Macaca mulatta: one gene and its partner. The protein of the gene in region 1 purifies or fractionates together with the protein of each later gene. This does not show direct contact. Links are inferred from orthologs where the notes say so. Each region holds a gene or a part of one and is shown on either strand. Other genes may lie near its edges.

Evidence for each region.
Region 2: the proteins of TMEM43 (region 1) and ENDOD1 purify together in Homo sapiens (affinity purification with mass spectrometry; 3 studies listed by BioGRID and IntAct, with this or other methods). This does not show direct contact. The link is inferred for Macaca mulatta from reciprocal best matches to the Homo sapiens genes TMEM43 and ENDOD1.

The regions. Positions count from the first base shown.
Region 1 is NC_133407.1:152,920,801-152,936,690, forward strand, and holds the start of TMEM43 (transmembrane protein 43), read left to right. Parts: upstream 1-7,044; 5' UTR 7,045-7,215; coding exon 7,216-7,227; intron 7,228-11,377; coding exon 11,378-11,527; intron 11,528-12,891; coding exon 12,892-13,026; intron 13,027-13,608; exon of another isoform or gene 13,609-13,643; coding exon 13,644-13,738; exon of another isoform or gene 13,739-13,762; intron 13,763-14,597; coding exon 14,598-14,647; intron 14,648-14,914; coding exon of another isoform or gene 14,915-14,917; coding exon 14,918-14,987; intron 14,988-15,793; coding exon 15,794-15,864; intron 15,865-15,890. Other genes in the region: CHCHD4 (mitochondrial intermembrane space import and assembly protein 40), read right to left, coding at 3,636-3,696. UniProt on the Homo sapiens protein: May have an important role in maintaining nuclear envelope structure by organizing protein complexes at the inner nuclear membrane. Required for retaining emerin at the inner nuclear membrane.
Region 2 is NC_133419.1:95,902,007-95,917,910, forward strand, and holds the start of ENDOD1 (endonuclease domain-containing 1 protein precursor), read left to right. Parts: upstream 1-6,514; 5' UTR 6,515-6,627; coding exon 6,628-6,927; intron 6,928-15,904. UniProt on the Homo sapiens protein: May act as a DNase and a RNase. Plays a role in the modulation of innate immune signaling through the cGAS-STING pathway by interacting with RNF26.

The DNA of each region.
Region 1 (15,890 bases):
GAGGCCTGACCTGCAGAAACGTGGCTCTGTGAAAGCTGCAGGCATCTCTGATTACTTTATACTTTTTGTTTTCTCTTTATATTTAGAAAAGTTTGGTCACAGGTATGCTGAGGGGAAAGCAAGGAAAAAGGCTTGGGCCCATGCTTGGACTGATGTAATTAAGGAAGAGGCTTCTGGAAGGCAGGGGGCAGTGACAACAAAAACTGAGCGACATCTCCAGTGAGAAGGACAGTTCAGGGGACAGAGGGAGGGCACTTTGGTGCCTTACGCCATGCCCACACTGCACAGGGTCTCTTACGCTAGGACAGAGTAACAACAAAAAAACCTCAGCACACACAGGGCCAGGACCCCCAACACACTGGAGGTTTCTGCTCCCAGAGATGGTCTCTGCCACAACACCTTGCATGTCATCCAACAGAAGACTGCTTTTCCCCTGTGGCTGACTTGGGAAAGCTTTTGGACCAGGCAGCCAGGACTTGTTAAAGTACCTAGTAATCTTGGTAATTCTGGCCAGTTTCCAAAATACTCAAAAGCAATCTGTAAAAATGGTGAACGCTAAGTACAATGAGCTGATGCAAATTTCGCAACTCAGCTCTGGCAGTTTTGTTGACCAAGATGGCAGCTCAGCACAGCCCAATGGTGAGGCCCAGCCATAGGCACACAAAGCAAAAGGTCCAAATGTGGTAAAGTATGAGGCCTTCCTGGGGTTTGCCATACATAGAGAGACCAGGCCTCACCCAAGAAAAGCTGAATCGAGCTCTCTGCCACATCCATGTAGCTCACGGGCTTCACAGGTGACTGATACACAGCCAGGTTAGGAAACACCAGCCTAGCACAATCCCACTGAGAATTCCAGGTCCCTACCACTGGGCCAAGTCCTCACATGTGCCTTCCTGGACATTTTCCCTTGCAGCACAGTTCACACTGGATTGAAGGTAGAACAGTAATAGCTGCATCTTTTATACATTTTTGTCCCATGCAATGTGTTTTATTATATCTGTGAGTTCACTGGTGGGTATTACTTTATCTCCATTTTACAGAAACCACAGGAGCTGAGAAACGGACCAAAAGACATGCAGTAAATGAAGGCAGAACAGGAACTCTGGTCTGAAAGATCCAGAGTGTGTCTCCTGCAAACTGTCCATTGCATGCCTGTCCTGGAGGGCCTCTGCTTTCTGGAACATTTAAAACTCAATTCAAGAACCGATGCAAGGACAAGGCTTACCTATTCCTAACAAATCTAAGTGTGAAAGAAAGAACTGGTCAGACTAGTCATAAGATGCCAACCAGTGGGACAATCAGCTAGACAAGTAGTTCTTATGACATTTCTCAGCAATTTCTCCAGAAAAATAAAATTAAAAGTGCTTGTGTTTTTATTTCTAAGATAAGCTTTAAAAGCAGTTGAATATGCATGTTCTGAAGGAGGTGGATAACTATGTTAAACCTTCTGGCTCACAGTGGCTTCAATATCACAGAGAGTCTGAGAACTGGAGTTCAAAGCTGGACTTAAGCACTTCCCACTGTGTGAGCTCAGGTACCCTCTGGGCCTCAGAAACCAGGCCTTACCACCAGCTTCACTGACCTACCTCACATGGTTGGGGAGGTGAAATGTGTTTCTGCTGTTAGCTAGAATCCCACTCAACAGTAAGTTTTAAAGGGTACGTGGCCAGGAAAAGAGACAATCACAGGCTCAGAGATGTCAATAATATCTTGGAAATGGGAGAGTTGATGGTCGAGTGCTCTCTGACTTAACCAGTGAAGAAAGCTGAACCCAAAGTGCACAAGGAGGAGGTCCCCCAGAATCAACTCAGTCCCCACCCCAGAACCTTGGTCAGAGTGGGGAACTGGAGGCCCGAGGGGTTACTCTGTGAACAGGACTTCAGGGTGGGGCTGAGAACAGAACTGACTGAGCAGTCGGATACCAAGACACCTTCCACCCTCAGCTGTTTAGTTTTACTTTTGGTAGAGCCACCCCAACCCGTCTTTCTCTCACATCTCCATCAGCATATTAGAATGGCTCGATCTTCAAATATATCCAGAAAGAGCTGCATCTCTCACCTCTTGGACCCCATCTCCCACCATCATTCCCTCCACTCCAGCCATGCTGACCTCTGCTTTTACTTGAACATGCTGAGCACATGCCTACCTCTGGCTTTTGCACAGGGTATTCTGTCCTCCACGAGCACTTTCCCTTCCCTCAGGTACCCTCACAGCGATTTCTCCCTGCTTTCACTTCCTGCTCACATGCCACCGTCCCTGACCACTGCCCATCTCCCTTATCCTGCTTTTTTATCTTTCTCCAAAGTGCTTTTCTTCACCCAACATACTATGTATGTTTACCACTTGATGCCCCCACTGGAATGTCAGCTCCTCAGAGGCAGCGATTTTTGTCTATTCTGTTCATTGCAGTATCCTGAGAGCCCAGAATAGTGCCAATGACAAAGTGGGTGTTCAATCTTTGTTGAAAAAAGTGAATGGAGAAACAACTCTGGATTACGGCATGAAGACCCTAGTGTAAGAATTAAAGAAAGAGGAGAGAAACACGAACGGTGGCTTTTCAGTCAACAGGGACAGGTTTATTTTAAACAAACCTGAGGTGGGCTGCTGGCTGAGTTAGGTCAGAGCCACATTCTCTTACAGACTAAGAGTTTTTAAGGATTCAGGGTGAGAGAGTTTATCAGAGGCTTGGACTGCTTCTGTGTCTCTTTATTGTGCTCATCTGGGAGGCAGAGTTGTATGTCTGTTTCCACACATCTTTCTGCAGCTGCAGGCATATCCCCCCCAGGACTGCTTTTAGCTTCCCTATCTTAGTGCACCTGAAGGGAAAGGAATGTTCTTATTAAGGCCCACAGTTTTACTGGGGTCCACTGTATGAGGGTGAAGTTTGGCAGTTACCCAAGAGACTTTCCCCCACCTCCCTCTATGACCGAGGTGTCTTATCTGTGTTTTACTGTCTGCTCTTCCTGGCTGCTTGTAGTTAGAAGTGATTTCCTTGAAATGCATGAGGCTAGAAAGGGAGCTGGAACTTAAAGTGCCAGTGTTTGTCCGAGATGACGCTACTCCTGCTCTGTCACCCAGTCCCAGCAGAAAGCAGGAAGACAGAATGGTTATCACCATTAAGTGAGCAAGACCAAAAAATCCCTTGGATGAGTAGTTTGATTTCCCCCATGAAAGGGGAAGATCTTTACAGGCAAGAATCTCTCAGCATATCCACTCCAGAAGGAATGCCCGTGTGTCCTGCAGAGGAAGCAGTTTCTTGTCTCCCATGGATGCTGACTCACCAGGATCATGTTTGAGAATGGCAACCTGCACTACGGACTTGTCTTCTTTCATTTTTGGCTAAGCTGATTCAATACACCTGTGATACAATTCCAACCACTACTTTCTGACACTCAACCCAAGAAAGAGATCTAAAGCCAGAGGGAGTGGTGCCTGTGGTATATTTTGAGTGAGTAAAGTAAGGGGTTTCTAAGAGTTTGATAAATCTGACTGCTGAGGACTTTCATGTTTAGAATCTAACCCCTTTGAAAGATATAACTCCCGCGTACAGAATCAAGTATCTGTGAAGAACACACAAATAGCTTTCAGACAGAGTGTAAGAAGAATGCAAGTGTTAGAAGTTTAGCTCAACAAACCTTCCTTAGCTCCAGCTCTGTGGTAGTACCTGGTGGTCACAGATGAATACGACACAGGCATCCAGTGGAGAAGACGGAAGGGGAGGGATCCTACCTTTGTCCCTGACAAAGAACTTCAGGGAGGGAAGGAGGGAATAGACATTCCAGAAGGGACCATCCTGGGCAAAGCCTGGAGTGCAAAAGGAGGGTTTTAAGTAGTGTTCGCTCACACACATTGAGGACTGCAAAAGGTTTTCTTAAGAAAACTGGCATTTAAAAGGATCTCTGAAGCCTCAGGAAGCCTTCTCAGACCCCACAGAGCCGTTCACTAAATGATCATAGCATGCTGGGCTTTCCCTTCATGTCACTTATGACAGTCTGTAATCATGCATTGGTCTGGTGATGTTTTAATGGCAATCTCTTCCACCATGCCAGGAAGGCAGAGAATGTGTCACATTGCTCACCACTATATGCCCAATGGCTGGCACGTCACATGTGCTTTATAAATGTTGACTAAACACGAGTGGGCAGGCTCTGCATTAGAAAGAGGAAACTAAGAAAGAAACACTATGGTGCTGACACACAGAAGTGTGGCTAGCCCAAGGCCAGGGAGCCAGGATGAGAGCCCTCGAATGCCAAACCAAGGAGTTTAACCTGAAGGCTGGGTAGCAGGTGGACCCCTGAAATAAACTTGCACAGGCAAGTGATTCACTCAGGACAGAGGGCAGGTACACGCATGATTCAATAAAGATTTGGGCACCCATTGTACACCAGGCCCTGTGCCAGATGCTGGGGATTCCACAGCCCATCTGATGCTCTCAGCTTAGTGGGAGAAGACAGGCAGGAAGATGGCAAAAAATAAAAAAGGTAATTTCAGAGAGTTCAGGATGTGAAAGACACAAAGGGTCAGGAGGCTAAATTTTAAAGGATGAGGAGTCAGCCATGGAAGAGGTGAAGGCAGGATCTACCAAACCAAGGGTATAGCGAAGAGGTTAGAGGCTGGGCAACAAAAAGGTGGGAAGAGACCAGGCTGGAAAGGCAGACAGGGCCAGATCACATAAGCTCTGATACGGTAAGGAGTTTGGGATCATTTTTTTTAAAAATCCTATGGGAAGCATAAAGGATCAGTGAGCAAAAAAAAAAAAAAAAAAAAAATGTTAGGGACTTCTTAGGGGGACAGTGGTATGGATAAGAAAAATACTAAGGAAGGCCTATAAGTGAGTGCTTTCAATTCTCACTCATCTCCTAAGAGAGATCTTTGAACCAGGAAAAGATAAGGGCTCCATGTTTTTTTTTTTTTTTTTGAGACGGAGTCTTGCTCTGTAGCCCGGGCTGGAGTGCAGTGGCCGGATCTCAGCTCACTGCAAGCTCCGCCTCCCGGGTTTATGCCATTCTCCTGCCTCAGCCTCCGGAGTAGCTGGGACTACAGGCGCCCGCCACCTCGCCCGGCTAGTTTTTTGTATTTTTAGTAGAGACGGGGTTTCACGGTGTTAGCCAGGATGGTCTTGATCTCCTGACCTCGTGATCCGCCCGTCTCGGCCTCCCAAAGTGCTGGGATTACAGGCTTGAGCCACCGCGCCCAGCCAAGGGCTCCATGTTTTGAAGGCAGATGGACCTAGCCTCCCTTTCCAGAGAAAACTGCCTCCTGTAAATCCTCAAAGAGAAGGAGGGTTTTGTTTATCAGCACAGCCTCATTATACCCAAAGGCTCAAAAATTATTTGCTAAATGAAGTAAATTAGAGAGAGACTTGAAATTAAAAACAACAGTGGTGAGGGCAGAGGACTTTTGCTTACGGCACACATTAAGTAGTAATCAGCGGAAATATAATAGTACTCATTAAAGAGTGAGTCTTATGGCTTTACAACCCAGAGGAGGAGAGGTTCTAGAAGCAGACAGGGCTACTAGGGAAAAGGCTCAGCATTTTAGGCTGAGCTATGCTCCTAACTGGATGTGTAACTAAGGTAGGCCACCTCCTTCTCTGGGCTTCAGATTGCTTGAATTAACTGATGGAGCTGGAGTATTCACCAAAGAATTTCTGGGTGACTTCCAACTCTCTCTGTAGCTTTATAACCATCCATCCCCCTTCTCTGGAGCAGAGAAGATGCTTCATGAATATTTGCTGTATCAGTGAAGCCCAACATCTCATTTTACAACACTGGAAACCAGGGCCTGGAGGGGTTAGGTAGGAGCTTAGGGCCAAGGAGTCAGTTTGTGGCAGTGTGTGGGGAGGCCCTCCGACCTGTGGCTTGGGTACTTCTGAGCTCTTGGGTAGAGTAACATCAAGGAAGCATTAGGTGGTTGGAGCTCAACTTTGGGGTGGGAGGTAGGCAGGGTTCTCCCTGCAATCCACTGGGCACTAGATTGGAAAAGGCTGTTCTGGGGTCACAATGCCCAGGCTCAAACCCCGGTTCCACGATTTGCTGGCTGAGTGGCTTTAGCCAAGTCTCCTGTGTCAGACTTTACTCTTCAGTAAAATGTGACCAGTAACAGAGTCTGACTTACAAAGGGCGCAGCGAGATCAATGAGACAAGCCACGTAAGTTTCCTTGAACAGTGCCTGATAGGTAGCAGGGGGCTCAAAAACATTCCCGTTAGTAGAACTCCTAGCACAACTCCTAGCACCCCAGCACAGCACACGCTACCCCCAGTAGCAACTTTTCGGGACCCGCCTTTTAAAGGCGCGTGCAAAATGGCAACACGTGGGGTATGGCAGGAGCGGTAGTAATAATTAACATACATTCCCAGTTACGAGCCACACGCAACGTGCTCGGCATTTCCCGTGCCCCAACCCGGCCTAGTTTACGACTTCCCACGCACAGGCCCCTCTGAGGTCAGGGTTCGGGCTTCACTGTGACCTTGGACCAGTCCCGTTCCCCCGAGAGCTTCGGTTTTCTCATTCGCAAAACACGAGTGGCGACCCCCCAGCCTGCCCGCCTCCGAGTGTCCCAGGGTGGGCAACCGGGCCGCGCCTCGGGTGGCCCGCGCCTGCGGCGTGGTAGCGGGGCGCCGGGGCCCGCGTGTCTCCCGCAGGCCCTCGTAGGCCGGTCTCCATGGCAGCCCGCCCTCCCTACCTTCCTGCCGGCAATAGGACATGGCTGCAGCCCGTCCCTGAGACCTTGCAGAAGCGGCAGTGGCGGTAGCTGCAGCTTTACGCCGTGACCTCCTCTCCTCAGGCAGGGCGGGCGCCTCCGAAGCCCGCGCGGACCCGCCCCCTCCAGGCCTGCCCGCCGCGCGCCTGCCTCGGCGCCCTCTTAACCGCGGCCAGGCCCACCTCAGCCGGAAACTACATTTCCCAGCAGGTCGCGAGCCCCACAGCAGCTCGCCAGGCAGTAGAAACTACATTTCCCAGAAAGCTTTGCAGTGCGCAGGCGCATCAATGAGGTACTGTAATGTCCCTGACCCGTTTCCAGGTCTCGCCGTGCGCATGCGCAGAAACACTGGGCACACGGGGCGGTAACTGCAGTAAGTCCCGCCTGGTCTTGGAGTCCACGCGGATTTTCGAAGCTGGGGCTGGCAAGAGGCCGCTGGACTCCGCGCTCCAGTCGTCAGCCCACTTCCTAGCTGAACAGCGCGAGGCGGCGGCAGCGAGCCGGGTCCCACCATGGCCGCGAATGTGAGTGTCCCCTGGCCAGCCGGGCCACACCCAGGCTTCTCCGTCGCCCTGGGGCTCTTCCCCGGGGCCCTCTGGGTCCGTTTCGCCGTCTGGAGCTCCTCCCTGCGGCTGGGCCCGCATCTCCCTCTGCGCGCCGTGTCGGTGCCTTCGCCAGCTCATCCCTCTGTTAATCTCTCGAACCGTCCAGACTTCTTTTGTCCGTGTTCTTTGGTCCGCCTAGTCCTCGGCGTTCGTGCGGAGGCGGACTCGGAGGTGTTGCTCCCGCACTACGATCTGCTTGTACGCCTCTCCGCGGCTCCTCCTTGCATTCCTAGTTCCCTCCTGTATCTTGGGGCCCTGAAGCCGTCCCAAGGTTGCGCATTATGAGAGCTGGACGGGAGCTCAGAGAGGGGGCCATTCCCTTGGGAGGGAGGAAGGCGACCCAGCCCAAGTGGAGCTGTCCAGCAATGGACGGATAGGGCTGTCCAGGCGGGCAGAGAGCTCCCCGCTCTAGGGAGGCTGTGTAAACCGAGGCTGTGATGCTGCAAAAAGCTTAGGCTGGGCTGGGAGCGAAGGAGTTAGGGGGAGAGGGAGCATTTCTCTACTGTCGGGGCCCCTCCTCCTCCTAGCAAGGATTTGGTTGGAGAAGGCCTGGCTGAGGGCTGTTCCTTCAAGGCCTCTTCTCCCTGCAACTAGCCTTTCTCGGGAAACTATTTAAGCCCAACATTCATTCAGCACACCAAGCAGCGCCTCCTACCAGGGCGCTGGATGTGGGAGAAGCTGGTGACTCACTTCTCCCCTCCTCTGTGAAAGTGCTTCTAGGGCCTGCTTAGGAGCCCAGCCAGCCCCAGACACACCCTCCCTCCTGCTTTGGTAGAGTGTCCTAGCAGCTCTCCCCTTGCCTGTCACACCCTATTTCCAGACGCCGCCTCTGTCCCCAAGCGTCCTCTCTGCCTCCCACACCCCTTGAGAGGCCAGGGTGTGCATCACCCACAGTCCTAGTACACTCTGTCTCGGGTTAGTATCATCTACACTCCCAGGACACTTTGGGCCCACAGGAGGGTTAGAAGCCTTGAATGGTGTACCTAGAAAGGCCTCAGAGGTATTCCGAGAGACTCAGGCTCGGCCAGGAGAGAGGGCAGACAGGAGACCAGCCTGTTTGTAGTATGTGGACTCTGTCTGCTCCCATCACCACCACCACCATATTTTACAGATGGTGAACTTCCCCAGCAGGGGAAGGCACCTGCCCAAACTCTTGTGGCCAGCTTGGCATGCTGCAAAGGGCAGGCTTTGGAGTTAGGGAGACCTGGGGGCAATCCAGATTCTTCCACCCAGTAGATGTGTGGCTTTCATCTCTCCAGGTTTATGTAGCCTCATGGATCAGTTACTGTGACATTTAAGGGAGACTGCTTAGCACAGTGCCTGGTGTGTCGTAGGTACCTAATACTTGAAAACTAGCCTGTCATTGCAGAGGGGAGCACAGATGGTCCCAGTGAATAGAGATCGTCTTGGGTACATTGAGACCTGGCCCCTCACCAAGGAACATACATGCATTTGAGTATCCTCTGCTGCCAAGCATTTGTTGATTCATCCAGTAGCTGGGTATACATTTACAGCAGCCACTAGGCTGGGTGAGGAAGAAGATAGTGGGATGGAGTAGGGAGGCAACAGAATTCTCAATCAGTATAGCAGCAGCAGTACCGATGGTGAAGGTACTATTCCCCTCTCTACTTTATAAGTGAGTAAACAGAATCAGAGAGGTAGAGCAATTTACCCAGGCTTCACAGCAAGTGATTGGTGAACCTGGGCATCGAACCCAGTTCTGTTCATTTCCAGGGCTTATGTGTCAGCCTCTGTTCCCACCACTCATTGCTCATTTCTTCTGAGTCCTGAGTGCTGGGACTGGGAGGGGATGTGTCACTGGGGATGTCTGTGTGTGTGTGTGTTTACATTTGTGTGTATACATGTAATATATATGTATATATAAATATGTGTGTATATATAGATCCTTTATGATCCTCCATGTTTACTGGGAATTTTGGTTCAGAATGTGGGCTGGGTATGTCATGTCACTGCCTACCTCATCCCTCCCCTAGCCTGAGGGGCACCCTCCTGTACCTCTCTTCCTTCCCTCCAAGGCTGTCTTTGAGCCCCTTATCTTGATGCTGGCTGAGGGGACGCCCAAGAGGAAGCCACGCCTCCTTTTCCTGTTGCTGCCTGCAGCCGGCACCCAACATTCAACTCACATTGTAGCCCAAGAGCTGGGGAGCACAGACTGGAATGAGTAATAGGAGAGTAGTCTCCAGTCTGCCCAGATGTGAATCCTAACTCTTCCTCTTAGAAACTGTGTGATCTGGGAAGATGACTTAACCCAAGCCCGATTTTCTTATCAGTGAAATGGGGTGGTTATGGCATCCAGCTCTTTGGGCTTGCGTGTGGGCTGGCCTGTGATAGACCGGCGTGTTTGCCATTGTCATCATTATGATGGTCACCTGCCTGCCTGTGGTGATTCCCTCCCTTAATGTTTCCAAATGGTATAGAAAGTCAAGATGACTTCTGGATTCATGGACATCTGGTCACTGGAGGCCTTGGCTGGTGATATTCAAAGACAATCAGAACGTGACATCAGCTTTGTCCAAGCAGAGACTCTGACTCAAATCACTCCTCTGGCCCCTAGTGCCAGGATGGGGCACTGTCTTAGCTGGGCCCCACTTTATATCTTTGTGACTTTTGTCAGCTCACTCCCAGCCTGGTGCCAGCCCACTATCAGTTGTAGAGAAATCTGGTAACATTCCCACTAGCTAACATGTGTAGAGTGCTTACCAAGGCCTCGGCCCTGAGCCCCCCAATAACTATGTTCTTTGCTTCTCACCACAACCCTATGCACAGAGGAAATGGAAAGCACAAAGTGGTGAAATTGCTTTTGCCCAAGACCCTGTAGCTGGTGTGTGGCACAGCATAGATTCAAACCCAGTTCTTCTGGCTCCAGAATCCTGCCCTAGACGATGACGCTTTTGATCAGCAGTGGATGCACCCCAAATCATGCCTGTGTTATTGACCAAAGCCTGATCCACTCACCCTTGAGTTTGAGGCCCACTGTGAACCTGCCCAGAAATGCCTAGCTCCAAGCCCTTTCTTCCTCCATCCCTCCCACAACCCAGCCAAAGCAGATAGGCAGCTGCTCCCCCAGGACCACTTCCTACTTCTTCATCACTGCTGACATGGTTCTCCCTTTAGGGATGCTCTTCCCCTAAGGTCTGTCTCTAAGATTCCACTCAAATGCCCCCTCCTCCAGGGAGCCTGCCTTGATACCCCAGCTGGAAGGGGTCACTCCTTGAGCACTGAGTCCACCCCTCTCACAAGACACTCTGTATGACCTTCTAGTATTGTTTATGGTTGTGACCTCACTGCCCTAAGACTGTCTACTTCTGACCCCACAAGGGCTAGCACTGCCCTCAGAAAGCTCAGCCACTGTTTGCTGAATTTAATTAAAAATACCTCTCTAATAACCTCTTTGTAAAATAGCCTGGCAGTTTCATAAACACACATCTTCTCTGTGAGCCAGCAGTTGTACTCCTAGGTATATTCCTACAGGAGATGAAAGCACACGTCTGCATAAAGGTTCATGTATGAATGTTCACAGCAGCGTTATTCATAATAGCCAAAACCTGGAAGCTGCCAAGATACCCATCCACTGACGAATGATTCAGCACATTGTGGTATAGTCATAAATGGAATACTACTCAGCCCTGAAAAGGAACAAACTCCTGATAAACACCACAACGTGGACGAATTGCAAAAGCAGTGCTCTGAGTCCAAGAAGCTGGGCAGAAAGGAGTTGGTGCCCTGATTCCATTTTTCTCAAGTTCTAGAAGAAACAAAACTAATCTACAGTGGGAGAAATTCAAATTCAGATTCTCCCCATCCCTACCAGTTACCTCTGGTTGGTGGAGAGGGGGAGAGTTGGCAGGAAAGGGGCACAAAGAAACTTTTTGGGGAGATGGAAATATTTTGTACCTAGCCAAACTGCACATTGAGTATCTGTGTGTTTTTACCACATACAGTTAAAACTAAAAACAAAACAAAAAAAACTGAGTATAAATAAATAGCAAATTTCATTTATTTTTAAAAAACTAATTTTCCTTCTGTGACTATGTTTCTTTTTCTTCAGTATTCCAGTACCAGTACCCGGAGAGAACATGTCAAAGTTACAACCGGCTCCCAGCCAGGCTTCCTGGAGCGGCTGAGCGAGACCTCGGGTGGGATGGTCGTGGGGCTCATGACCTTCCTGCTCTCCTTCTACCTAATTTTCACCAATGAGGTAAAATGTCTGGCGTCTTCCTGTGCAGAGTGAGAGTCCCTACCATGTCAGAGAGCAAAGGCTATGAACCCAGAGGCTGGTAATAAAGGGCCTAGATTTTACAAAAGAGAAAGAAGGATACTGAGTTAATCACAGTTCTTTGCATTGTGATGCATCCCACAGCTGATGTGAGCAGGAAAAGGAGTAGATCAGTTCACACACCCGAAAATCCAGGGCTTAGCACCTGCCTCAGGCGTAGTTGGATCCAGGTGTTCATGCTGGGTCACCAGGAGTCTCCATTTCTTCATCTTTAGCCTGTTTTTCTCTATTATGGTGTATTTCTTGGGCAGGCACTTCCTCTGTGATGGTAAATGTGGCCCCAGCAACTGGCTTACATCCAACCACTTAGCCCAGGGAAGAGAAAAACCATTTGTTTATCTTCCTTCCCTTCCTTCCCTTCCATCCCTTCTTTCCCTTCCCTCCCTTCCTCCCCCACTTAGCCCAGGGAAGAGAAAAACCATTTGTTTATCTTCCTTCCCTTCCTTCCCTTCCATCCCTTCTTTCCCTTCCCTCCCTTCCTCCCTTCTTTCCTTCCTTCCTCTCTCTCTTCTTTCTTTCTTTTTCTCTTTTTTTTTCTCTCTCTCTCTCTCCTCTCTCTCTGTCTCTCTCTCCTCTCTCTTTCTTTTTTTCCTTTTTTTAAAATAAGACCTCATGATGCAACAGCATATTTCTAAATCAATTTAGCAACAGTTACAGGGCAATCTCTCAGTGTCCTGGCTTGGCTGTCAGTCCTCTGAATCAGTCTCCGTGGCCAGGGGTCACTCACATGTTCTGATTGGCAAGGTCTGGGTCACATGATTTGAACAGGGGTTCAGATCTACCTAGGTAAACCACATGGACTGAGTAGGGGAGAGGAGAGCCAGGCATGGTGGCTCAGGCCTATAACCCCAGCACTTCGGGAGGCCAAGGAGGGAGGATTGCTTGAGGCCAGAAGTTCAAAAGCAACCTGGGCAACATAGCAAGACCCCATATCTACAAAAAATTTAAACATAAAAATAAAATTAAGAAAAAGAAGGCAGAGAAAAATGGGGAGAAAGAGACAGGCAAGCAGAAACGCCAGCTGTTCTCACCACTGGGGCAGTGCTAAGACTGGTGGGGGCTAGTGGGAACCAGTGGGGCAGTGGGAAGAAGTCTGCCTGGGAAAGCAGGAATCTGGGTTCCAGTCCTTACTCTCCACTTGCTAGACCTCAGTTTTCCAACTGTACAGTGGGGAGATGGGTCTCAGTGCTCCCTGAGGCCCCATCCTACCCTGATACTTTGCAACAAGCACAGTCATGTTGAGCCACCCCTGAGTTGTTGAAATTCCCACTCCCCTTTGCTCCCAGGGCCGTGCGTTGAAGACGGCAACCTCGTTGGCCGAGGGGCTCTCGCTTGTCGTGTCCCCTGACAGCATCCACAGTGTGGCGCCAGAGAATGAAGGAAGGCTGGTGCATATCATTGGCGCCCTGCGGACATCCAAGGTAGGCTTGGCAGGGGATGCTGACCTGCCAGTGGCTCGGGGCTCATCCTGGATGTTGTCTGGCTGAGGATTTGAAAGCATGGGCCTTGGAGATGGTCACACGTGAGTGTGATTCCCGACTCCACCGCTCAGCAGCTGTGTGGACTTGTCTATCCTGAGTCTCAGTGTCTTCATGTATAAAATGGGGATGGTAATAGTAACAAGCTTGTGGCCAGCCTTGAGGATTTGGTGAGATGAGATAACTAACATCTTGATACAGAGGGTGGCACTCAAGGAGGTGCTCTCATGATTGTGATGACCGTGTGTGACCAGTGCAAAGCCACAAAACAACCCTGGGCACCAGAGCTTTCGTGTTATTTGAACACCCTGTACGCTGTTGGCACCATGCCATTGGGCCATGCAGCCCAGGCCTGTACTGTGAGGGTCACGGGCGCTATGTGTGAAGAACTTGGGATAGGCAGTGTCCTTGATCCTCCCCTGCAAAGCAGCCTAGGGCTCTCCACCCTTGTCCCCTTCTCTATTTCTTCCTCTTCCAGTCCAGCTTCCCCTCAGCCAGGCTTTCTGGGCTGACATGAATCTTATCTTTTATTTTTTTGGTTTCTTTGATTCTGTTTGAAGCTTTTGTCTGATCCAAACTATGGGGTTCATCTTCCGGCTGTGAAACTGCGGAGGCACGTGGAGATGTACCAGTGGGTAGAAACTGAGGAGTCCAGGTGAGGCGCCAGGGGCTGAAAACTCTGTTGGGGTAAAGGAGGAGTGAGGTGTAGGTGTCAGGATAACATGCAGATACCTTTCATTTTGATGCCTTTGAAATTCAAGGATAACATCTTCCTATCAGAAAAGTGTGAAATTATCCCCAAATTAATAGCCAGTGATTTGGAAGTGGCAACAACCCAGTGAAGAGTGGCTCCAAGAGGAAAAGGGGATCGAGTCACTCCCACATCTGGGAAGTTCCAGAGATGCACAAGCTTGAAGCATGACTTGGAGCAGGCGTGAAACACTGTCATGGGATCAGCATGTCACCCCCGAGACCCCACTGCATCTCTCTGTGTTCCGCCTTCCCATCAGCTGTGTTGGTCCCATCTTCTCTCCACTTACAACTTATCATTTCTGACAGGAGTCCCGGGGCAGGTTCTCATTGACCAGGGCTGGGGTCACCTGGAGCCCCACCTGAATCACATGGACTGTGACCGATGGGTGGGGAGGTGGCGGGAGGAGCAGGAGAAGGGCAGCTTCAGGAGCCCCCGCAGGGCTGTCCCGGAGCAGAGGGTGCAACCAGATCTCTGAGCCCAAAGGGCAGAGCTGGGCCCCTTGGTGGTGTAAGGCCAGTGGGGGTAGATTTCAGCTCAGGATGGGAGCGCGCTTTCCTCCAGGCAGCGCCTTCGAGGGCGGGAGCTGGCTGGCTGTCAGGAGGGAGTGCCCTATCTTGGGGCTGATGTAGAGAAGGCATCTGCCCCCATCTGGGGAGTCTGCATCTGGTAGCCCTGAGGTTGCTTCTGGCTCAGATGCTTAGAGGTTAGACCGTCCAGGGCGACGAGGCTAACCCCCATGGCTGCCTTGCTTTCCCTGCAGGGAGTACACTGAGGATGGGCAGGTGAAGAAGGAGACGAGGTACTCCTACAGTGAGTACTGGGCCCCTCACGTGGTCTCTACCCATGGTGGGGGCCCACAGCAGTGGCTGGACAGCAGGGCTGTGAGTTGGGCCATGAGAAGGATTCAGCACCAGGCATCAGAATCCCTGGGTGCCAGTCTTCAGAGTCCTGCTCTCCCACCCATCCAGTGAGGCTCCCTGACCCACCCCTTTGGCTGGGAGATGGGAGGAGCTGGGCTGGTGGGTATCAGCCACGTGCCACTCCTACCCAGGCTCTGAGTTGTTTCCTCTCCCCGAGCAGACACCGAATGGAGGTCAGAAATCATCAACAGCAAAAACTTCGACCGAGAGATTGGCCACAAAAACCCCAGGTGAGAGCCAGGCCCCAGGCCTGAATGCAGCCTTGTCTATACTGACAGGTCTCCAGCCTCAGTTTCTTTATCTGAATAACAGGATTGAGTTAATCCTGCTCCATGGGTTGAAAATGTGGGACATGGTTTTGAGACCAAGCCCTGTGCTGGGCACCAGGAACACAGAGACCCGTCTCCCCTGACCCCCAACGAGCTCCCCACAAACAGGTCACAAATGTACGGCCTGCACTAAGCATCTAAGGGGATTTGCACACACGGAGCCAGGCAAGCATTTTGTTAATGGTTTGCCATGGGTAGGAGGACAATTAGGACAGGCTTTCCAGAGGCAGCAGCATTTGTTGAGGCTTCTCAGGATTTCAGCAGAGGGAGGTTAGCTCCGTGGCATGCCAGTGGTGAGGTGGGCATAACACTTGTGTGTGGCTAGAGAGCAGGCCTTGTTCAGCAATGGTCTGGGCTGTGCCAGTAAGATGGTCAGGGGATGGAATGCTCTGGGAGGGGCTAGTGAGGGGTGTAAAGTCCATGCAAGAGATATCTGACAGCGGTGGGTGGGGCACGACAGGCTGGCAGGGGTCTAGGCAAGAGGGTAGGAAGCTCCAGGGAACAGGAGACAGAGTGAGGGCACTCAGCCCGGGGGAGGGGGCACAAGGGCCCTGGGGGTGGACAAGAAAAGATGTCTGCTGTGCCTGGGCTAATCTGGACTTGCAGGAACCCCCAGGTGGGGACCCTGCCCAGCACAAACAACCCAAAGGGACCCAGGCAGCTCCAACACTGGTGCCCATCTCTTGACAGCTTCCTCTCTCCCACAGTGCCATGGCAGTGGAGTCATTCACGGCAACAGCCCCCTTTGTCCAAATTGGCAGATTTTTCCTCTCGCCAGGTAAGTCTCAGACCTCTCCAGAGGAG
Region 2 (15,904 bases), on another chromosome or scaffold:
TTTGAACAATATGAAATCTGGGCACCTTGAAAAAAGAACAGGATATCAGTAATGTTCAGGGAACAAGAGAGATAACCTTAAACTCAGACTGCCGGTGAGCCGGATGGAACAGAGCCATATTTCTCTTCTTTCAAAAGCAAATAGGAGAACTATCGCTGAATTCTTTTTCTCAGCAAGGAACATCCCTGAGAAAGAGAATGCGCCCCTGAGGGTAGGCCTATGAACGGACCCCGTGGGGGCGGCTGTCTTTTACGGTCGAAGCTGAAGGGATGAAATAAGCTCCCGTCTCCTGTAGCGCTCCCAGGCTTATTAGGATGAAGAAATTCCTGCCTAATAAATTTTGGTCAGACAGGTTGTCTGCTCTCAAACCCTGTCTTCTGAGAAGATGTTATCAATGACAATACGTGCCAACTTCATTAGAAATTTTAATTTCACCCCATCCTGTGGTCCTGTGATCTTGCCCTGCCTCCATTTGCTTTGTGATATTTTATTACCTTGTGAAGTATGTGATCTCTATGACCCACACCCTATTCGTGCACTCCCTCCCCTTTTGAAAATTGCTAATAAAAACTTGACTTGCTAGTTTTACAACTCAGGGAGCATCACCGAACCTGCCGACATGTGATGTCTCCCCTGGACACCCAGCTTTAAAATTTCTCTCTCTTGTACTCTTTCCCTTTATTTCTCAGACCATCTGACGCTTAGGGAAATAGAAAAGAACCCACGTTGAATATTGGGGATGGGGTTTCCCCGATACATTTGTCTGTCTTTTTCTTTGGTAGTCTTTTATAATTCCCTGATGCTGTTACATGTTGACTAAGACAGACACATACAGACTTAGAGATGGGACTAAATGTTTTCCCTAATTTTTTTCCTACCAATTAAAATAAACAGCAGCTGATTTAACTCATAATTAAAATGAAATGGTTACTTAGGCAGATGTATTTCTGAAATAAATGTGTAAAGTTCTGTGTTGAAAATAGAGATGACCTGGTGGTAAGCAGAGATTGTGGGTTCCAGGATGGCTGAGACCATGTTGTATATCCTCTGTGGCCTCAGCAGTCTGCACTGAGCCTGGCCTGTGGGGTCCACTCACTATTTACTGAATGAAGGAATAAGTTTCTCCTCTATCCACATCCATATTGATGTGAAGTCTGATATTAGTTTTTTCTATATAATGTGGTAAAAGACCCAAAACATAAAACTAATCATCCTAACCATTTTTTAAGTGTTAAGTATATTCACATTGTTGTGAGAAAGATCTCAAGAACTTTTTCATCTTGCAAATTTCAATTTCTATACCCATTAAACAACTGCTATTATTTTTAAACATCCACATTTAGCTTTACTAGAAAGAAGACAGCTCTGCCCACATTTCAGGTAAACATGACTCAACCTTCTGCTGCTTATGCATCAGCAAGTCTCTTGACTCAGTAAAACACTGTCTGTTGCCCACACATGGGTTCAGCCAGGCAGGCTGTCTTTGATTTGGTCATTATTAGAAAAATAAATCAGGCATTTTAACCCCAATAGGAACTACTCCTCAGCTTCCTCACCTTTCCTGGTAACCTAAACTGGATTAGCTTCCTCATTTGCCAATTCCTTATACGTGCTAGAGAGACAAGAGAGGAGAGCCAAACAAGTAGCTTTAGGGGCCTAAAAATTAATTGTTATTCTAGTTTGTGAACCATGTTTCCACATATCTCATAATTAAGTATGATTTTCCACCATTCCCATTGTCTTTCCAGAGCTGCTCTTCCTAAATTATACTTCTCTGCAACATAACACACAGTACTTCCCTTATCAGAGCATTTCTCACGCTGTATTGTAATTGCTTGTCTGTCTGTCCTCCCTACCATACTTCAAGTTCTGTGATGCCAAGGTCTGTGTCAGTCTTGCAGTGGAATGAAGATGGGTCTAGCATGAACTCAATGTTACAGAACTCACCAGCTGCATGAAGATTCCTCTGCTTTGCTCTGTCCTAGTCTAAGGCAAAGCCACTTGCCAATAATTGGTTAGCTTGTGTTTTCTCTTCTGGTTGCCCACATGGCACTGAGAGGTGCTGGCATGAATGCCAGGAGAGCAGGAACTAGGCTAAACTTTGCTTCCCCTAAACACCCAGCATCGCCATTGCTGGCTCATGGTAGATGTTCAAAAAACATTCTGAGGATGAATGAATGAATTAGAGCAATGAAAACCCAAATGAAGTTTCATAAAGAAGGTTTTATTCTTTCACTCATCTACTCACTCACTGTATTAGATGCTTACTCTATAGTAGGCACTATGCTCATGACTAAGGGGAAAGGTAGCAGTTATTAAATGGGGTTACTGGCTTAATAGGCATAATTAGAAGGGGCTCTTAACCTCATAGAGGGGTGGAGGGAGTGAAATTGAGGACATGCTTGTCAGGAAGGTGAGTGATTGAGGAAGTGATGGTTAGCTAGATTGTTGGGATAAAAAAAAAAAAGCTAAGCTAGATGAAATGAGTAAAGGGATGAGAATAGGTGGTGAGAATTTCAGGACAAGGGAAGTAGTTTATGATGCAAATTTTCAAAGACTAGAGAGAGCATCAGGCTGAGTTCAGTGGCTCAAATCTCTAATCCCAGCACTTTGGAAGGCCAAGGCAGGTGGATCGCTTGAGCTCAGGAGTTCCAGACCAGCCTGGGCAATATAGCAAAACCCTGTCTTTACAAACAATATAAAAATCAGCCGATGTGGTGGCTACACTTGTAGCTGCAGCTACTAAGGAGGGTGAAGTGAGGGGATCGATTGAACCCATGAGGTTGAGGCTGCAATGAGCTGTGATTGCACCATTGCACTCCAGCCTAAGTGACAGAGAGAGACCCTGTCTCAAAAACAAAACAAAAGAGAGAACATTGTGCATTCATGGAAACACAAGAAGCTGAGCATGTGGGCAAGGTGGGAGTGGAGAAAGATGAGGCCTGGGAGGGAAAGGCCAGGTCTCTGGGGTCATGGAAGTCAGCTAGTATGTCTGGCTGCATCCCAAGGCAAATGGAGAGTGATTAAAGTGCTGTAAGTGTAGGGTGACATCATCAGATTTATGTTAGGAAGTCATCCTAGCTGGAGAGTGGATTAGAAGGGATGATGGAATAAAAACCGGGCATGACAAATGAGGATGGCTTGGTCAAAGGTGTGACGGTAGGGATGCAATTATCATCAGAGCAGTGAGGCAGGGGAAAGAAGTGTCTAGTTGGGCTCATATTTTTAAATAACTTTGGACAGAACCAACCAAACCACAGAAGCGCATGTCAAATGTTTTATTCCACATCAGCCATTACGTTTCATCCTCAAGCCTTTGCTGAAGGCTGTGGAACGTTGTTAGCTTTGGCTGGGTCTGAGTGCAGAGACCTAAGAGGATCTGGTTTGAAACCTCTTTTCCTTTGAGAAGAGAGTCAGTGACCAAATGTAGAGACAGCAGTGAATTATTGATGGACCTACAAGTTTTACACATACAGATGTTGCTTAAGACAGTTTTCCCCTAGAATCAGCAGTTAGCAAATGTGTTAATTAGATCAAGTCACCCCTCCCTACCTTGTAGTTTGTTCCAGAATCTTGGGGTGAGAACATTTGTAATTTGCAAAAGTAATATTTTATCTGTGGAAGACAAGCACACGGAAGAAAAATCTATTGTCTTGTACTATAAACTAAAGAACATAAAGTAAACGAAATCATCCTGGCTGTGGGATGTACAAATGTTCAGTGTTATAACGTGTGTCAGTCACTGACAGAGGGCTGGGGGAAAAACTAGACTCTGCCACGGGGACTGAGTGGCGGAGATATTTATGCTTATCAAAGGTGGAGGGCAGGGATCAAGAAATTTTGAGAAAGTGAATTAAAGTCTATACATACTTTAGTCATAAAGGCCAACAATGTATTATACTTTCCGCATTGGTAAAATACAACATAATCATACTTGGCATCTAATCACTCCGGATTTTGTGGTAGCCACTGGGATCCACCAACCACCTTTGTCCCTAGGAGTACATGATTTAATAAAGAAGACAGATACAGGGATCATTAACACTCTACCATGATAAGTATCATAACAGATACATATTCAAAGAACTCAGAGAAGAGAGGGATTGATTTCTAGTTGTTCAACTGTGTTTATATATCTTTATGATTGACATCATAAGTCAACACTGGGGAACCCTATACTCAACCTTATAAAATAATGTAAATATTTTTAAAATCCTATAAAACCTATAATCCTCCCAGCATCATCCCTGTGGGAGGACTTGATTGAAGCCTACAAGGATGAGATGACTGAGATACTAGTACCAGATGATCAGAGTCATCATCCAGATCAAAGGGGACTTCAAGTCTAGCCTCTTCTGTGACATTACACTAAATGTGTCCCCTCCTTTTTCTAAAAACTAAGATACAAACTTTGGTTTCATTTCTGGGACCAAACATAGTCAACATTTTCGGCATTAAAACCTGTAAGAAATTTGTTCTTAAGTTCCAACGTATAATCTCTTGAATAGCTTCCTTCTTTATGGCCTCATTTTACAGATGTGCTGTGAGTTAAAAGAAAAGGCCAGGCTTGGGAATCAGAGACCTGTTTCAAATCTGCCTCAGGACTCACTGGCTGTGCCAGCTTAGGCAAGCATCAACAGGCTGTGTCCTCAGTCCCTGTAGTGGCACACTGGAGAAACAGATGACATCGTAAGATGAGTACAGGCCTTGGCCCTGGGGAGCTGCCCTGACCCTATCTCTGCTGCCACCATCCTACCATCCTAGTCCAAGCTACCATCTCTCATCTGGATTGTGGCAATTGTGGGGTGTTTTTCTTTTTCTTTTTTCTTTTTTTTTTTTGAGACAGAGTCTGGCTCTGTTGTCCAGGCTGGAGTGCCGCGGTGTGATCTCAGCTCACTGCAACCTCCGCCTCCCGGGTTCAAGCTATTCTCCTGACTCTGCTACCCGAGCAGCTGGGATTACAGGGGCCTGCCACTACACCCAGCTAATTTTTTGTGTTTTTAGTAGAGAAAGGTTTCACCATGTTGGGCAGGCTGGTCTCGAACTCCCGATCTCAGGTGATTCGCCTGCCTCAGCCTCCCAAAGTGCTGGGGTTACAGGTGTGAGCCACCCATTTATTCTGGGCCACTTCAATCTACCAGTCTCACCCTGAGAGCGAAAAGGATAGAGTCACCACCTTTAAAAGATGAAAATCCTCAACATGATTTATAATATTTTTCTGCAAACTGCAGGTCATGAACCATTACTGGCTCATAGAAACAATTTAGTGGGTCAAGACCAGCACTTTTTTAAAACAGTGAAGTAGAACAGAAATATGAAATTGTAATGCCAATCATAAGCATAAGAATTATTTCATGAAACTTTTCTCATTATGGGCCTTCTCAAAAAGTGTTTGAAGGCCTCTGGCCTGTAATACCCTGAGTAATACGACCCTTGCCTCCTCCTTTAGCTCCACTTCCCATCATCCCCACGCAGTTCTCTGCTCTTTACCCACACTAGCTTTCCTTAAATTCCTCCAACACATCATGTTTCTTTCTGTGGGAGACCACTTAGCACATGGTTTTCCTCCTTGCCTAATGTCATCCTTCAGGTCTCAGCTCGGATGCCATTTCTTCAGGCAAACCTTCCCGGATTACATCCTGAACCCCTGCAGCTGTCAGGGTCTCACAGATCTGCGTTCAGTTTTTAGTTATCCCTTTAATAGCATGTTTCCTCGGTGAGTGACAAGCTTTCCCACTAGGCTGTCTTTGTGACCGCAGGGGCCCTGTTCTTGTTTACCCCTGTGGTAATCCAGTGCCTATCTCAGGCTGGCACCTAGGCATTCAGAGGGATAAATGAAGGAAAGAATTGGCCAACCTGTTGACCAGTGACGTTGGCTGGCCTCCTTCCTTGCTTGGTATCGGTTTTGTTTCTAACCCTTGCACCGAGAAAACCACACAGGGTTGTACTGTCTGCCCAGTTCAGGAACTTCCTTTAACAGTATTTCTTTACTCTCTGAGTTTCTGGTGAGCTCAAAAACAAAACAAAATACTGCAAGAAAATTGTATGCGTGTGCTGGCCGTTGAGCACTTCGGTGGAGAGTGGGAGAAGGATCTTCATAAGATTTCAGAGGGGAACTCTGCCCATCCACTCCGAACCAGCTGCAGCTCCGTGAGCATCTCACGCCACCCGTCTGCATCCCCAGGGCTGCCGTGGGGCGCGCGCGATCAGCAAGCTTCTTGGCGCCCAGTCCATGCGACTATCTCTTCCCAGTCCCTGGACTAGGCCTGCCCCACTCGGATTCTCCACTCTTGGTAGCGCGCGTCCCCGCGGACTGCTGAGACCAGGCGGCGCGGCGGCAGGTGACCCGCTTCTCCAGTCCCGGGCGCAGCCCAGGGGACATTGTCAGCAACGCGGTGCCCGGCCCTGGGCCTCTGCAGCCATCTTCAGGGAGAGGGGCGCGGCCTCCGGACGCGGATCCGCCCCCGCCGCCCGGGTTGCCCCGCCCGGCTCCGCAGAGCGCGGCGCCTGGGTTCCGACTTCCCTTCCCTACCCTGCTAGGCTGCGTCGCGCGCTCACCGCCCAGCCCGCAGAGCTCGCGCCGCGGCAGCCTAGCCGCTCGGCCCCGCCGCGCTCGCAGAGGCCGCCATGGGCACTGCGCGCTGGTTCGCGCTGGGCAGCCTCCTCGCCCTGGCTAGGCTGCTGGAAGGCCGGCTCGTGGGCGAGGAGGAAGCCGGCTTTGGCGAATGTGACAAGTTCTTCTACGCCGGGACCCCGCCTGCGGGGCTGGCGACCGATTCCCACGTGAAGATCTGTCAGCGCGCGGAGGGCGCTGAGCGCTTCGCCACCCTCTACAGCACTCGGGACCGCATCCCCGTGTACTCCGCGTTCCGCGCCCCGCGCCCTGCGCCCGGCGGCGCCGAGCAGCGATGGTTGGTGGAGCCGCAGGTAAGCGAGGTGGTTCCCGAGCCGGGGACCGTGCCGCTGGACTTGCCCCCAGGGGCGCTTTGCGGCTACCGCGAGGGGCCGGGCCGGGAACAGCAATCCCTACGCCTTCGATGCCTTGGGCCAAGAAACTCGGGTTCCAGATCCACCCCGTTGCGTCCCCGGAGTTTAGCCTGCCTCGCCCTCTGTCGAGGCTACAATAAGAGCCTGGCGATCTGCGAGCCTTCACTTCACTTCATGAGTTGCAGGGGCGGGAGGTCCCCTGTGGGAGGAGGTTCTCCCTACATTTCTGAGCAGACATCCGCAGTGTTTCATTCCTGAATAGTGAAGAGCGTGAGACAGAGACCCTGGAGACCGTTCAGATTCGCAGAAAGCCTACGCTGGGCGCTCACAGGCCTTCGTGCAAGTTACTGTCATAGCACTCATTTGGAGGTGGGTAGGTGGGCATTTTCATCCCCATTTTACAGAAGAGGAGATTAACCCAGGGCGTCGAAGAGACTTGCGGAAGACCACCCAGTTAATAAGATGGGGCAGGTCTTTTGTCTAGAAATTCACTGTCTTTTCTACTAAGTAAAGCTTCTCTACTGCAGAGCTTATCCTAGCCTGAAAATCCTTCCTCTACACACGGCATTGAGTAAATTCGATCTGCGGTTGTGTTGAATTAGAATAAAATAAAGATACAGATTTTTAGAAACGCAATGGGATAGTTACAAATGATAGGGAAACAATGACTACCTCCAACTGATGGAAAGATAAGCCAGTTTTTCCTGACTCTTCATATCTATATTATCATACCACTAGGAAATCATGTCACCTCTCATGGTGTTCTGTCCCATCTGGTAAAGGTGAACAAACACTTGAGAAGCCCTCAGAGTCTTCCGAACCTGCTTTCTTGCTCTTAACACATCCTGACTTACCTCTGCTCAGTTGATCTCCTCTCTAGAATACCCTGCCAGGCTCCCCTTTCCCTCTCACCAGCCTCCCACCCCTGTCCAGGCTGCTGGGGGAGGAGCTGACCCAACGGCTCTCCCTTTCCTGAGGACCACAGCTGCCCAGGACCACACCAGTGGACAGGAGGCTGGCTTTCAGGTGCTTTTTTCAGAGCCTGTGGATTGTAATCTCATTGAGATATTTCTAGCTCTGAGGTCTTGGCCAGGTCTCAAACAATCTGCACCTAGTTTTCTTATCTTCCTCACATCCTTCCACTTACCTCAATTGTTGATAACACCTGTTGAGATCAGGTATGTGAAAAAGACGTTGTCAATTGCACACACAAGATCCATTTAAATCCAAAATTAGTTTTCCTCCAGCTGTACCCCTAGAGCTCACAGGGTGTTGCCCACCTCTTGTCTTGCACTGTGATTGTGTGCCTGTGAAGAGAACAAATGACCTGGTCCTTTCCCTTGATCTCATGGATAGCTTGGGGAGACAGAACATACGTTTGAGGAAATCATGGGAATGCATGCTAAACGAATTTCAGTTAAATTCAGAACACATTTAGTGATCTCCTGCTGTGTGCCAGACATTTGGGATGCCAAGAGATCTGAGTGCCGTTCTAGAACAAAGGTTACCTGATCTGCAGGTGGAGTTTTCTGGGTGGAGAGGTGGTGTAGCATTTGATTAGAGCCATGCTATGTGGGTTCAAATCCTAGTTGCTCCGCTGACTAGCTATGAACTTGGGCAGGTTAAATTGGAGATAATAGCATAGGGTGTTGTGAGATTTAATGAGTTACTATATACAAAGTTCTCAGGTGTGTGACACATGAGTACTAGCTGTTGCTATGACACGGGCAAAAAAACCATAATTTAATAAAGGTGAACAAAGTTCTATTAGATTTAATCTGTCTTTGAGGTGATGGAAGCAAGCCTTAGGGTCAGGATGACATTTGTGCTTTGTGTGGAAAGATAAGGCAGAGTTTAGAAGGGAGGCAAAGAAGAGGACATTTCAAGCAGAGGGAACAGACATCAGGAGTGAGAAAGGCATGGCAGATTCAGGGATTTGTGCATGGAGAAGTTGGAACAGGTAAACTAATACAAATAGATTAATGTACTCAGTTGCTCAGAATAAAAGGGAATCACGGAAGGGAGGGATCAGGTGGGGAGGAGCCGTCAAGGAAGGCTTAGGGAGGCAGAGCCATTTATGCAACTAGGGAAGGAGTGAGTCATAAAGGAGCATAGTTTGCCAGAAAGAAGTAAAGGGAACCAGGTAACATGGATTCCGTGGGTGGGATAATGAGGAAGGGGACTGTGGAGATTAAAGAAGATGGGAAGGGAGGGCGGAAATAGTTACAAATGGCAGCTTGAGAGGTAAGATGTACTGTAGTTCTGAAAAGTACAAGGGGCCTGAGCTCTTACTGTGCTGAGAGGTCAGAATGGTCACTGTGGCTGAGCACTGCAGGATGCTTTTCCCTGCAAAGTGGATGGCCTCCCACACCCACCCACTCAACCCCAAGTCAAATCAGCCAGGATCCAGAGAGTATTGGGAGAGATGGAGGGAGGAGGAGGTGCGACGTACAGCTGGGCCTGCAGTGCACTGCAGCAAACCTGCCCCCCTGCTGCCTACTCCCTGACGCCTTGCCTCCTTGCCAAGATCCCCACTGCAGAAAGATGCTCAGGGCTCAATGTGTACCATTGGCTGCTTCCAAGCACTTTCTAATGCTGAGTCTCCTTGTGCCCACATCACCTTTTTGTGAGGTCAGTGTTGCCAAGAGGCCCTGCACACAGGAGGAAGAGGCAGGAGACCAAAGGAACTCAGTGCTTGCCTCCAGTGATGAGTCAGGCAGGGCAGCAGTGACACTGAGTTCCCAAAGCCCAGTTCAGTAGCTTTTGAGGCCACACTGCAGTTTCTCTCTGAAAACAATCTCCTAAGTCAAAGATCACAGAAACTTAGTCACTCTGGTGCTTAAAATCTGTAAAGTGTTGCCTGCCCAACCCCTACTGGACAAAGTTCACACTGCAGAATGCAGTTTAGAGGCCCTCCATAGCCTAGCTCCTGTCTCCTGCTCCAGTCTGGTTTCTCACCATGCCCCACCCTCATATTTTATGTTCTAGCATTATCCAGCTGCCTGGAGTTCCTCTCATAAACCAGACTGTTTGTGATGTCTGTTTCTTAGCTCATGCTGATTCCCTTTGCCCAAATTCTCTTTCTACACGGACCCCATCTTATCCTTCACTTCCTGCTCTTACTCCATCCTTTAAGACTCTGCTGAGGTGTCACCTCCTCCAGAAAGAATTCCCCACCTAAATTGTATCCACCTCCCGAGTTAGGTCCTCCCCTTCAGTGCTCTTATAATTTTTCTATTTTCATACCTACCATATTGTTTTATAATTATCTGCTTATGTATCTGTCTCCCCAACTTGAGCCCTTGAGGAATGATGACTGCATCTTACTCATTCTTTTCCTAGTGCCCAGCTTATAGAAAGCACGTGATAAGTGTTGAATCAAATACTTTGATGTTGGGAGGATCAATCAGGCAGCAGCAGGTGAGATTTCTGCTTGAGTTTTCTCCGTGGGGCGCTTCCTGTTTCAGAAGCTTGCCCCGTGGCTGTCCAGCAACTGCTGTTACGAACGTGGTCCCTGTGCAGCACTGGAACCCTGCTCTGAAGCCACTCCATCAATCTTAGCTTTGGCCTTTGAAACTATCCCAAATGGTTTTGATCTATGCTCTGCCTAGAGGAGATGATATGGAGGGGTTCTAGTCAAGACTCCAGAAACCTGAGAACTGGATTCTGGTTTAGTGCAGGAAGCCTCAAACCTTTTAGTTTGTCGACTCCTTTCCACTTAATGGAAAAATTTTTAGATAAGATACCAATGATGCCTTTCTAAAGTGCATTGCTGATTTATGCCAGAAGCCAACGTATAAAGCTTTATTATTTTATAAACGTGGAACTAACTGACTATATAAGGTTTCAAAGTGCATTGCTGATTTATGCCAGAAGCCAACATATAAAGCTCTGTCATTTTATAAACATGGAAGAAACTGAATATGTAAATTATATAATATTTATTATATATTTTATGTATTCATTATATAATATATATCATTTAATATATAATTTATATATTCAGTAATAATAGTGTATATTTGTTCAATCTTACAAAAATACTGTGAGGTAGATATTATCTTCTTCATTGTAGAAATGAGGAAACTGGCTCAGAGAGGTTAACTGAGGTGTTTAAGGTCACACAGCTTATTTTTGAACTCATTACTGAGTACTCTTCTGATACACCATGGAGATTCTTTGATCTCACAATGGATCCACTGCATTAATGGTTTTAGGACTTTAATTCTCATCTTTTATGTGAGAATTCTAATTTCTACTCCACTTCTATTTTCTGACAGTCATAGGACAAGTGGGAGCACTTATTTGGCTGCATAAAGGTTGCTGAAGTGTCCGTGACTGTGGAATGAAGGGGATATTCTGGTTAACTACAAAAACATTTTTCCGGAGGGCACAGTGAGGTCATATTTCAGATCTTAGTAAATGCATATGAACGGTTGTCTCAAGTTAGAACCTTGATTAAGTCCTTGATTTTTAATTTCCATCCATGGCTTTTACAACCTGAAATAGAAATATTGTTCAATTTGTTCCAACCTCAGCCTTCTTTTCATTGTGTCAGAGAACAGATATGTAGATCATCATACACTTAAATCTCTGTGTAAGTAATGCAGTGAACAGGACAACCCTGATTCTTACTCCTTAATTAAGAGACTTAATTCAGATCCCTGCTTTTCCATTTACAAGCTATGTGACCTTAAATTCTCCCAGCCCTCTTTTTTGGATCTGTTCATTAAAGGTCGTAACAGTGTTTACAGAGAGGTTGTAACAAATAAGATAACACATGAGAGCATGTGGCATGGTACCTGGAATATGGTAAACTCTTAGTAAATATTAATATGCATATAAGGTATTACTTCAGTAGGTGCTAGGCGTGCGCACGCACACACACACACACACACACACACAAATGGAATGTTGGATTAGATAGGTGACACCTATAGTTCTACAAATCTCTCCTAAATGTAAAATAGCTATACCTGTATCTTCTCAAATGCTCAGTATATGTCCCACATTCATATAGTAGATGCTTCATAAATGCATGATGAGAGATGAAATGTATGGAAAATTGAATGAATGGATGGAGGGTGGATTTGAGTGATTAAAAGCAAAAACAAACCAAACAGGTACCAAAGACATCTCCACCCTCTCTGTCCTGGGAAACCAAGAAGTGTGTTGTCACAAAACAGTGAGCAATGGCATTGCAGTCTATTGTGCTGAGCCTGGATAAGACTGGGAAATGCCCGACCCAGGGGATGGTTCCAAAAGCAGTCACTCACAATTTCTTCCCTACTGTGATGCACACCGCAAAACAGGGCCCACACATGATATCGTTTGTTGGATTTTTCCCTTCTGGCTTTTTCTTCATCTTTGGATTTAGTGTTTCCTTTTGTTTTGCAGGCCACTCTCAGGATCAAGTTAAGGTACTTACCTATGTTGGCAGAATATTTCAGGGACATTCGTCCTGCAGCAGTCCAGTGGTGACAATTCCCTACACTATTCTTTCAGTTTAGATTTATATCTGGACAATCTAGGCAAGGAACTATCATTTATTGATCGCTTACCATGTCAAAGGTCTTCACAATCTAACTCATCTCATCTCTATAACAACTCTAGGAATTATGACCTGTGTTTTATAGTTTAATCTCTATAACAACTCTAGGAATTATGACCTGTGTTTTATAGTTTAGGAAACTGAGGTTCAGAGTGGTTAAGTAACTTATCAAAGGTCACACAGCTTCTAGATGGCAAAGCCCAGACTGGAGCTTACTACCCAAAATCCAAAGCTCTTAACTCTCTTTCTTCTCTGTCACACTGTTTTCTCACTTAAATGTTAGTGTTTTCTCTCCAGAATCCAAACTGACTGACTAGACTCATTATTTTATTTTTAATCCAGTTCTTTGGATGGTTTATGGCTTCACTACTAACATACCATTCTGTAAATGCCAGCTTCAGATTTCTGTTAGCTCCGTTACTGGTGATTCATGGTGATTGAATGGAGCTTTCCTTGGGGAATTGAGATTTTATTCTTTGGGCATAAAATTTACCTTCCTTTTAAACTCTCAGCTCTGAAAGTGAAAATTTGAGAAAGTAAATCCTCTTATTTGCCAGTAGCATTTGCTTTCAGTTACCTTGTCTGTCTTCTAGAATTACTGTTAGTCAAGGAAGCTTTTTTTTTTTTTTTTTTTTTTTTCAAATTTCCTCCTTCAAGATGCATGTTATATCTTCTGAGTGGTGACTTACCCTTTCAGTTTCATGGAACTTGACATTTATCATGGCAATAATTAATTGTCGATATATCTATTTGGCCACTGAAAGGAAGGAGAAATAAAAAAGAAACTGACTCATAGGCTGAACCAAGAATAGAAGCACCGTTTAGTGTTCCAGTCATGCTTCATTGACCTACTGCTGGACAGAAGTGTGGCTCAATCAAAAGGTCAAACAAGGGTATTTTATATTTTTAATCAAAGCTGGAAATATGGGTACATTTTACTTTGTAGAATAATAGATGGCTGAAATATTATTTGAAAATGTAAATATAATTACATGTTTCAGTTGACTTATACTTTAAGGGCTGGTTGGTCTTGCGTTTGTATTGACTTCCAGTTGGCAGGGACACCTAATCTTTTAAGAAAGCCCTGAGCCCTCTGTCAATTCATTTTAGTCAACAAATCTTTATTGAGCATCTGCTATGTGTCAGCCACTATTCTAAGCCCTGGAAAGAGAGCAGTGAACCAAACACACAAAAACACCTACTCTCATAGGGTTTATATCTAATAGAGAATATAGATTATAAAATACATAAATAAAAGACATAGCACCAAGCGCAGTGGCTCACACCTGTAATCCCAGTACTCTGGGAGGCCAAGGCGGTCTGATCATTTGAGCCTAAGAGTTCGAGACCAGCCTGGGCAACATGGCAAAACCTCATCTCTACAAAAAATACAAAAATTAGCCAGTTGTGCTGGCATGCACCTGTAGTCCCAGCTACTCATGGAGGCTGAGGTGGGAGGATCATTTGGGCCTGGGAGGTAGAGACTGTGGTGAGCTGAGATCATGCCACTGCACTCCAGTCTGGGGGACAGAGTAAGACCCTGTCTCATTAAAAAAAAAAGGCATATTAGATAGTGATAAGTGTTAAGTAGAAAAAGCAAGGAAGGAGGCTGTGAGATATCAAGGAAAAGATGAAGTTTAAAACAAGGTTTCCATCCAGGGAAGAGATCACTGAGCAGATGACTTTCGGGTACAGACAAGAAAGAAATAAGAAAGCCAATTATGCAGACGTCTAGGGGGAAAACGTTCTGGGTGAAGGGAATAGTAATTGCAAAGGCCTGGAGGCATGAGTGTGTTGAGGAAGAACTAAGAGGCTGTTTGGCTAGAGAAGGGTAAATGAAGAGAGTAGCAGGAGATGAGGTCAGAGAAGTGCGGAAGAAGAGGGCAGATCATTTAGATTCTTCTGAGCTATTTGTAAACTATTGGGGTTTTACTGTGTGTGAAGTGGGAAGCAATTGTGCAGGTTTCTGAGCAGAGAGCTTCGATGTGATCTGGCTTACATTTAAATGGGACCAGTTTGGCTGCTGCATTGAGAATTGACTTGTGGTGTTAAGGGCAGAAGCAAAGAAACCAGTTAGGAGGTTTCAGTGATCTGACAAGAGATGGCAGTATCTTGGATCAAGGTGGTAGCACTGCATGTTCTGGATATATGGTGAAGAAAGAACTCATAGTCTTTGGAGTGAGAGAAAGGGAAGAGATGACTCCAAGCGTTTGGGCCTGAATGATTAGAAGAATGTAGTTGCCATGAGTAAGACAAGGATACAAAAGGAGGAGCCGTTTTGGGGCTGTATCAAGAACTCGCTTTTGTTCATAGGAGCAAGAATATAATACTGATTGCGTATCCATAATCTGAAATGCTTGGGACCAGAAGTATTTCAGTTTGGGGATTTTTTTGGATTTTGGAATTAGTGGCTGAACATCCCAAATCTGGAAATCTGAAATCTGAAATGCTTTAATGAGCATTTCCTTTGAGTGTCATGTCAGTACTCAAAGAGCTTTGGATTTTGGAACATATTGGATTTTGGATTTTCAGATTTGGGATGCTCAGCCTGTAGTGGCTACCAGGGGCTGAGGGGTGGGGAAGATGAGGAGCTGTTGTTCAATGGGTATAAAGTTTCAGTTATATGGGATAAATCAGTGCTAGAGGTCTGCTGTACAATGTAATGCCTGTAGTCTATGATATTATATTGTGCACTTCAAAATTTAAGAGGGTAGATCTCATATTAAGAGGGTAGATCTCATATTAAGAGGGTAGATCTCATATTAAGTTTTCTTAATACACACACACAAAACAAACAAACAAACAAAAGGACACAAGGAAAGTATGGGAGGTGTTGGACATGTCTCTTTCCTTGGTTCTTGTGATTGTATGATGCAATGTATTTGCATACATTCAAACCCAGCACATTAATTATGTGATGAGTTATTACATATTTATTGCACATTTAATTCATCACATTAAATATATACAATTTTTTGTTTATCAGTTATACCTTGATATAGCAGTAGAAGGCAAAGGTACTCAGTTTTGGACACTCTGAGTGCGAGATACCTTCAGGTGTTCAATTAACCTTCAAGTAAATATAGTCTAAAGCTCATGGGATGCTTATCATGTAGCAGGCACTTTTCTAGTGCTTTTTTTTTTTTTTTTTTTTTTTTGCGTGTAATTTCTTGTAATCCTCAGCACCATAGGAAATAGATACTATTATTATCCTTCTTAGAGGAGGAAACAGGCCCAGAGAGGTTGAACTACTATTCCCTGTTTACACAGCTAAGAAGAGGTGGGGCTGGGGTTTGAACCTGAGCTGTCTGATACCAGAGCACACATGGACTGCTTCTGTTACAAACCTGCTAATGTGTTGGGTGA